2 linked regions of the Neurospora crassa OR74A genome follow. The protein of the gene in region 1 interacts with the protein of each later gene in a pairwise test. Links are inferred from orthologs where the notes say so. Each region holds a gene or a part of one and is shown in the gene's direction. Other genes may lie near its edges.

What was found.
Region 2: the proteins of NCU02758 (region 1) and NCU01370 interact in a two-hybrid assay, tested with the Schizosaccharomyces pombe proteins (2 studies listed by BioGRID). The link is inferred for Neurospora crassa OR74A from reciprocal best matches to the Schizosaccharomyces pombe genes cdc13 and orc2.

The regions. Positions count from the first base shown.
Region 1 is NC_026501.1:3,457,610-3,461,892, forward strand, and holds NCU02758 (G2/mitotic-specific cyclin-B), read left to right. Parts: upstream 1-1,357; 5' UTR 1,358-1,725; coding exon 1,726-1,737; intron 1,738-1,833; coding exon 1,834-3,117; intron 3,118-3,183; coding exon 3,184-3,322; intron 3,323-3,378; coding exon 3,379-3,491; 3' UTR 3,492-3,679; downstream 3,680-4,283. Other genes in the region: NCU16375 (hypothetical protein), read left to right, coding at 3,924-4,283.
Region 2 is NC_026505.1:3,801,269-3,805,366, reverse strand, and holds NCU01370 (hypothetical protein), read left to right. Parts: upstream 1-1,342; 5' UTR 1,343-1,469; coding exon 1,470-3,166; intron 3,167-3,250; coding exon 3,251-3,365; 3' UTR 3,366-3,588; downstream 3,589-4,098. Other genes in the region: NCU01371 (UPF0660 protein, variant), read right to left, coding at 293-376, 443-781, 838-1,071.

The DNA.
Region 1 (4,283 bases):
CTGGGGAGGTGAGGGTGCTGGAGGGGACAGTTGCTGCGATTTCCAGCAACCGGAATGCGACGTCCTCGCAGGCTGCTCGTCGAGGTTCTCGTCGCCGGCTTGTCGTCGATAACTGCTTGTGGAAAATTGCTCGGCTGATGCGCCAATCACAGCCGTGCATTGGTTTGCGATCCCTGACGATTGTGGCTGCTAATAGTGTGGCTTGTGTGGTGCAGCCACTGCCCTTTGGTGAAGAGCCTTGTTTCTTTCCAGGGGACAAGTGCTGCAAACAGCGCTCCAAAACGCGGGCGCGGGAGGAAGGCACCAAGTCATCACCGCGTGAAGGTGCAGTGCGGCGCGGGGAAAGAGCGTGCATCGTGCTCCATTCCTGCCCGCCCAAGGTTCCAGTCGCGTCTGACCCAGGATAGGTAAGGTACCTTAGTGTTGACAGCTGCTGGACACGCGCAGCCTGTTGGACAGTTTAAACCAATCAGAAGCTGATTTGACCGAATTGCCCTGCGGTTGCCAGTGTTGCCCTGACGGCGGGCGGATGACAGCAAGGGAGGGACGTGGCCTGTGGTGGCCTTGCCGCCTTCAGTTCCTTCACTGCGTGTTTGAGGTGCGACCCTTCTTTGTCCCTTCTGCTTGCAGTGCTCCATAACAGCGCCCGGCCCAAGTACAATTTCCTGGCCGCTTTCTCGACTCCGGATTCTGCAACTCGACACTCACCATCCGACTAACAACCATTTCCCTGGACGCACGACAATCGACTTTCAGCTACAGCAACAACAGCAACTTTCGACTCCGGCCATTGAAGCCTGCATTTCTTCGGCAGTACAACCTTTTCGACTTGCTTATTCGACAACGGCATCCTCATCATTCGACAACTTAGCAAGGCAGGGAACAGCAAGACGTGCGTCTGACAGAAGCCCATATTGCACGGCGCGTCATCACTTGTTGTGGTAATTTTGTTCCCTTTCCGGTGTCTTGGACTTCAAAGCTTCAAAGCCTCGCTGCACTAGTGACCTCGAAGGGCACTAGAGGTACTTTGCCCCAGTCCCAGCACGTCCGATCCGGTACCTGGGTGGGTGTCCACACGCCCGCTCCGTCCACTGGCACTCCAGCCCCATCCACTGGGCTGCACTGGCACTGGCACCTCCACCAAGACCTCGCAAAAACAAGACTCCCATTCTTCTCTGCCTCGTAAACATCATACCTCCCTTTCCCGTCCGCCAACTAGCATTCCCACTCCGCATCACCTGGACTCGCAAGGCCTTGCCATCACGACGGCAACCCTTGGCCTCGATCAGTCAATCTTTCCGGACGTCGCCATTGCGTGCTTTGCCCCGACCGTCGTCACCAATTGGGCAACATTCCCGATCAACAACAGCACATCCTTCACGGTCTCAGCCAACCTTCTGTTGCGGGACCCAGGGTTGATCTCCGGCTTCAACAACGTGCCGACAGCGACATCACTGCCGACCGCCGGTGTTCATTCTTCCCGACATCTTTGGGCTCTGTAGTCGGTGCGTCTAGTCTCATTGACTGTCCGTGTTCACAATTCCCTCGTCGTTCGCTCGTCGTTCGCGTCAACCCTCCCTCCGTGACAGGGATCGGTCTTTCAATAAGAACCAGTCTCTCCACCTCGAACTTCGCCAAAAACGAAACATCCAAATAGCTAGCTGACCTCCCCGTCAGTAGACACATTTCACATCAATTTCTGTGCCAGCATAGGTTTAGGCGAGAATGCCGAATCTTGTAAGTTTTACTGCACAGTTGGCATTGTCGTTCAATCATGCAATTGGTTGTCCACAGCCATGCTATGTTTGTACTAACTCAACCCCAACCCTGCAGCGGACGAGGAACCCGCGTTCACTCGCGAACGAAAATGACGAGAACAGTACAGCAACCACGACACGTATGACGAGGGCCAAGGCGGCCACTCTCCATGTCGACGAATTGTCCATGCCCGCGAAAACCATGCAGACCAAAAAGACGACGATTTCGACAACCACCGCCGCCACTGCCGCTCGCACTGTCGGTAAGCGGAATGCACTGGGCGACGTCAGCAATGTCACCAAGGTTGAAGTTGCGGGAACGAAGAAAGCGATTGCGAAGCCCGGCCTAGTTTCGAAGGCGGCCCAGCCGAGTGGCATCCAGAAGAAGACCACAACTGCTACGAGCCGTACTGCGACTACTGCCCGCCGTGCGTTATCCAACAAAGAGCCCAACAAGACGGTCGGCCCCAGTGCTGGTGCTGGCACCATTCCCGCCAAGCGCAAGCCTCCTCCGTCCACATCCAAGCTCGCCCCTATCAAGGAATCAGCACCTGTTGAAAATGAACCGGCCCGCAAGAAGATCCACGTCGAAGAGCCCGAGAAGAAGAAGGTTTCCAGGACTGAGGCCAAGGAGAACGATGCTCCCTCCAAGGCTGTGAAGCCGATGGCCGAGCCCCCCGCTCCCGTCGTCCGCGATGTCGTCCCTGTTCAGTCAGTGTATCCGCCAGGTGTTAAGGACCTTGACACTGAAGACCTCGAGGATCCTCTTATGGTTGCCGAGTATGCGACGGAAATTTTCGAGTACCTCCGCGACCTCGAGTGCAAATCAGTGCCGAACCCTCAGTACATGAGCCACCAGGACGACCTCGAGTGGAAGACTCGTGGCATTCTCATCGACTGGCTCATTGAAGTTCATACTCGGTTTCATCTGCTGCCCGAGACGCTGTTCCTTGCCGTTAACATCATCGATCGTTTTTTGAGCGAAAAGGTCGTCCAGCTCGATCGTCTTCAGCTCGTGGGTATCACTGCAATGTTTGTTGCCTCCAAGTACGAGGAGGTCCTCTCCCCCCATATTGCCAACTTTCGCCACGTTGCAGATGACGGCTTTACTGAAGCTGAGATCCTCAGTGCTGAGCGTTTCATTCTATCGACCCTCAACTACGACCTTAGCTACCCCAACCCTATGAACTTTCTCCGCCGCATCTCCAAGGCAGACAACTACGATATTCAATCCCGTACCCTTGGCAAGTACCTGATGGAGATCAGCTTGCTGGACCATCGCTTCATGCCTTACCGTCCCAGCCATGTCGCTGCTGCTGCTATGTACTTGGCACGATTGATCCTTGGCCGCGGAGAATGGGTAAGTTATACAGATGGATTTATAATACTCGCCATATCATCCTGTGGCTAATACTCATAATAACAGGACAAGACTATCGCCTACTATGCTGGCTATACCGAGGAGGAGATCGAGCCTGTATTCCATCTCATGGTTGACTATCTGGCCCGTCCCGTTATTCATGAAGCATTCTTCAAGAAGTATGGCAGCAAGAAGTTCCTCAAAGGTATGTCAAACAACCGGCCTTGCTTGTCTCGTAATCTTATTCTGACATCTTCTCAGCCTCCATCCTTACTCGGCAGTGGGCCAAGAAGAACGCTGTTCTCTATGGCGTTGTTGACGCCGAGATCCCACTTGACAAGCTCAAGGACCGCCCCGTTGACCAGCTGCCTTAAGCTTGTTTGGGTGCAGCTGCGTTCACGGGCTAGCATTTGGGTTCTGGCCCATACAATGTTCTCAAAAGAGGCTACGATGCGGTTGGATCTCGCTAGCGCTTGACGACATATCATGAAGTTATAGATGACGGTATGCCTTTTGTCTCTGAACCCAATGGAGACCGCGTTCGTCCAATTTTCCTATTCTCTCTCTCAAAAAAAAAAGCATCCTATTACCTGCTTGATGCACAGGGAACCGGCTCTAGGAAACACGGCGAGGGTTAATCACCTGGTCCGCGCCGACGGGCTGGCTTTTGTTTTTCCTTCATCTTTCCGGCATGGCAGGTTTTTGTTTTGCACTGCTCCTTATTTACACGCTCAAACTTTTCTTTGCGGTGGCGCCAGGTGTCAAGGGAAATCAGGGAGAGAGGCGTAGAGGTATCTCTTTATTTCATGTTCCTCCGTGCAGAGGGCCTCAAAGGTATGGTTAGGTTGCGGTTTCTCATTGTTTACCCCCCCCCACGGTTCGGCACGGAATTTATCATTACTGTTCTATTGCTGCTGCTCTCTCCAGATATCGGATTCTGCGCACAATCAAGCTCGGTGCATGGTGTGAATGATACAAGGAGAGAAGATGTATGTCAGTTACTGTGTGGTCGTTATGAAGAAACGGCTTTAGCGAAAGAGAAAACAACAAAAACGGTGATCCACTGGGAGGCAATGAACGCATGTCGTGGGAAGGTTGGGGAAAAGTACTACTGTACATACATACATTCTGACGGATTACAAAGTCCTCATCTGAATGGACTGATT
Region 2 (4,098 bases), on another chromosome or scaffold:
AAAGACAGGCCCGGCAGCTGAGAGGAAAATCTGAAGCACGCCTGTTTCCCTCGCGCCAGAAACCACTATTAAGCGAGACAAGAAACATGTTTCGTAGGCAATGGACACAACGAGCAAGACATCGGGAAAGGGCACAACCACAACGTAGAGGAGAACAACGACGTCGGAACAATTAAAGAGAATGGGGCACAGATGCGAAAGAAAAGAAGAACCCACCTCAGCTACTGGGGATATGCAGAAAACATACATTACTACACGCTGTCTTCTTTCCCTGGAGAAGCACAAAATGCAGTTACTCAAAGGGGCTCACTGGCTCAGGAGCGGTATAACCACGGGATACAAGGAAGGGCGCAACAGTCCTCTCAACTCTCGACCACTATCATATCCCAGTCAGCAAAAGACTTTGGCTTATCACGCAGCTTGGTTGCAGGGTTTCACTTACGATGCTCTTCTGCTGGTGGGGAACAACTCCATCCTTGATCCAAATACCATAGCTGCCCATCATGTTGGCAAGCATCATGTCAGTGGCCAGTCGGTCTCCCACGACGGCGATCTGGTGAGGACTGGTGACACCGGTTTCCGGGTGGGCACGGAAGTAGGACATGATCTCGTCTCCACAGCCTGGCTTTTTCACACCATGGGGGAGAACAGTGATGCCGGTGGCCTTTTCAACTGCGGATGCCATCTGGCCGTCCTTGTCCCAGCTTAGGGCACCAGCAGTGTTGGAAACGATCAGAAGACGGCGTCCTGGGTATGCTGCTCGTAGAGCCTCCATGCGTTCCTTGGCTTAATCAGTCAAAGCGTTCCTGAATGGAATTGGGACGAGAGACAACCCACCTTGTAAGCCTCATACACTTCATTGTGATCAGGATAGGCAAAGCAGTCATCTTTGTCGAGCACGACAGCCTTTATGTCAACCTTCTTCTCGCCATTGCCGGAGAAGGCTTTGTTAAGAGGGATGGGCAGGTCGTTGAACGTTGGAACTGTAGCGTGGGGCAGACATAGTGAAGGCTTGGCGATAAGCTTGAAAATGTTCAATGAGGCAGACAAATTGAGATTGAGCTTTGACATATTGGTCGCGATAGTCCTCTTGGAGTTTGTTTGGTTGAGATGACATGAGGTTGCAAGAAAGCCTATGAACTCTCCCACCTATAACCCTCCCGCGAAGTACCTAGAGGTAGCGTATGTGGTGGTAGACAGGGGCTTGGCTTGCCCCCGTTAGTAGGCAGCGAACCCTGCTACCCGCAGGTACTCTCTAGCAGGTACCTGCTGTCTTCCCATCTAGAGGTAGGTAGCGTCATCCCGGGCGTATGTACAGCTTAACGCGTCTCAATTAAGCGAGCGCGTCTTGACTTTACAAAAGTTTCCCGTAGACTTCGAATTGCAGAGGTAGGGTAAAGGTACAGCGGGACTCCAAGGCATGCCATACAACTTGGACAACATAAACCAAAGCCAATAACACAAACGGTATGCCTCCTCGTCGGAAATCAACAGATCAGCACGATCTAGTCGAACGCCCCTCTCGAAAGCGGCCACTCCCTGCCGACCCCTACGAAGTTCCAGATGAGGATGATGCGGTTCCCTCCGCAAAGCGTCAACGGCGACAACCAGAAGATGGAGGAACACCTTCAAAGCGAAACGCCACCCCGCGGAAACAGGTCGATTTCCTCCAGCGCGACCTAGCCTCTGTGCCAGAAGAACCCGAGTCACCTACCGAGCAGACACCCAGCAAGAAAAGGATAGGGCGACCACCGAAGGCCAAGACGGGAGGAACACCAAGTGGCAAGCCGAGCACACCATCCGCCCTGCGCAAGAAACAAGTCGACGAGACACCGATCAAGCTCAAAGGAATCAGTGGCGTCGACACACCCGGCAGGCGAGGAATTGCCGACCGATCGGCTAGACGGAAGAGTGCCAGGGCTCTCATCGACCGTGTGCTGGAGGGCGCCGTAAGCGATGACGAGGACGAAGAGCAACAAATCGCACGAGAGATCTACGAGTCAAGCGAGGAAGAAGAGGAAGGGGACACCCAACAAGAAAACCTCGCCGACCAAGAGGCCGAGTTAGCAGCAACCACTCCATCCAAGACAGGGAGGGGGAGAGGACGAGGAGGCAGACCCCCCGGTTTAGCACGACGAAAGAAATCGCCCACACCACCCCGAGACCTCCCTCCCCATGAACAATACTTTTACCAGAACAAGCCGGGATCCAACAAAACCTCGAACAACACGCTCTCCTCGCTCGACCTCCTCATCCACGAAGAATACTTCTCGCTTCTCCGCAACCTGGGTCAGGACCCCCACGAAAAACATATCGATGCCCTCCAGTCGCAACACGCCGCCTCCTTCCCCCAATGGGCCTTTGAGCTCTCCCAAGGCTTCAGCGTCTGCCTCTACGGCTACGGCTCCAAGCGTCGACTTTTGCACCAATTCGCCGAGTACCTCTTCTCCTCCTCCGGCGGTAATGACACAAACAACACAACAATCATCATGATCAACGGGCACACCCGCACCCTCACCTTCCGCGAGATCCTCACCACCATCTCGGCCGCCATCGACCCCACCTTCCGCCTACCCTCCGGAAACCCGCTCGCCATGATCCAAAACCTCTTCACCCTCCTCTCCTCTTTTGCTCAAAAGCCAAGAATCACCCTCCTCCTAGCCTCCCTCGACTCCCCCTTCTCCCCCCTCCGCAAACCCCAAACGCAATCCCTCCTCGCCCATCTCTCCTCACACCCAGCCATCTCTCTCGCTTGCACAGTCGACACGCCCGACTTCCCTCTGCTCTGGGACTCTAGCTTACGCTCCTCGTTCAACTTTGCATTTCACGACTGCACCACTTTTGCAGACCACAGCAAAGAGTTGGACGTAGTAGACGAAGTACACGAGTTACTGGGTAGGATGGGCAAGAGAGCGGGTGGCAAGGAAGGAGTGGCGTTTGTGTTGCGGAGTTTACCCGAGAACGCGAGGAAATTGTTTGGGCTGATTGTGGGGGAGGTTTTGGTGGCTTTTGAGGACGGTGGTGGTGGTGGTGGTGGTACATCAGGGGCAGGAGACTTTGCAGCGGGAGGAGAAGGGCCGGGGGTAGAGTATAGGATGCTTTACAACAAGGCTGTGGAGGAGTTTATTTGCAGTTCGGAAATGGCGTTTAGGACGCTGCTAAAGGAGTATGTTCTTCCCTCTGTTGTGACTTGGCTGTGGAGATGATTTTCTTGGTTTTAAAGGGACAACGGCTAACAGAACGGAAACAGATTCCACGATCATCAAATCATTACGAGTCACAAGGACTCGATAGGGACGGAATACTTGAGCTTACCTTTTAGGAAAGAGGAGCTGGAGTCTATCCTGGAGGAGTTGATGTCGTAGTGATGATTGACGACGATGTATCATGACAATGCTAAGTTTTGAATCGAGATGAATGGGACACACACAGATTTGACCTGGAAGTTATCATACACACGGCAACACCCACCACATGTGTTGGAATGGAAGCCTACACATCATATCATAGTCTTAACATATCCAAAATCCTGGAAAGCTCACCGCAGAACATCAATAGCTCAAGTCTTACGATAATTACAAAGTCGAAAATGTATACTTGCCACTTCGATGTTTTGCTTGTCATGCCATGCTCTCATGATAGGTACTCGATTACCGAAAGGACCTAGTCCACTACTTTGTTTGGCCACACACACACACACACACACACACACACATCGAATCACGAGTCATCGAGCACAAAAGACATCAAGAGTATAACGAAGTTGAAATGTTTTTGATTGGATTCCTCAGTTCAGACAATTCCGTCTCGCGCGCCACGGATGCCAAGGAGACAAAAACAAGCAGCCGCCATGTCCGGGGAACTTTTCCCAAATGCCCGAGCTTCGATCTTGGTTCAACCGTATAAACCAAGCCCAAATCCCAAACTATGTCCAGGGAAAAAACAAACATTGTGCAAAAGAACACCTCCCCTTCCCAGGCCTCTGCCCGTTTAACACTCTCCTTTTTGATTAGCCCATTCGCAGATGCCCTTTTAAGCTTTTGCCCCGTGCCCGTTCAAACCCAATTAAGAACCCAAGAAGGACGCACTTTTCCCCTT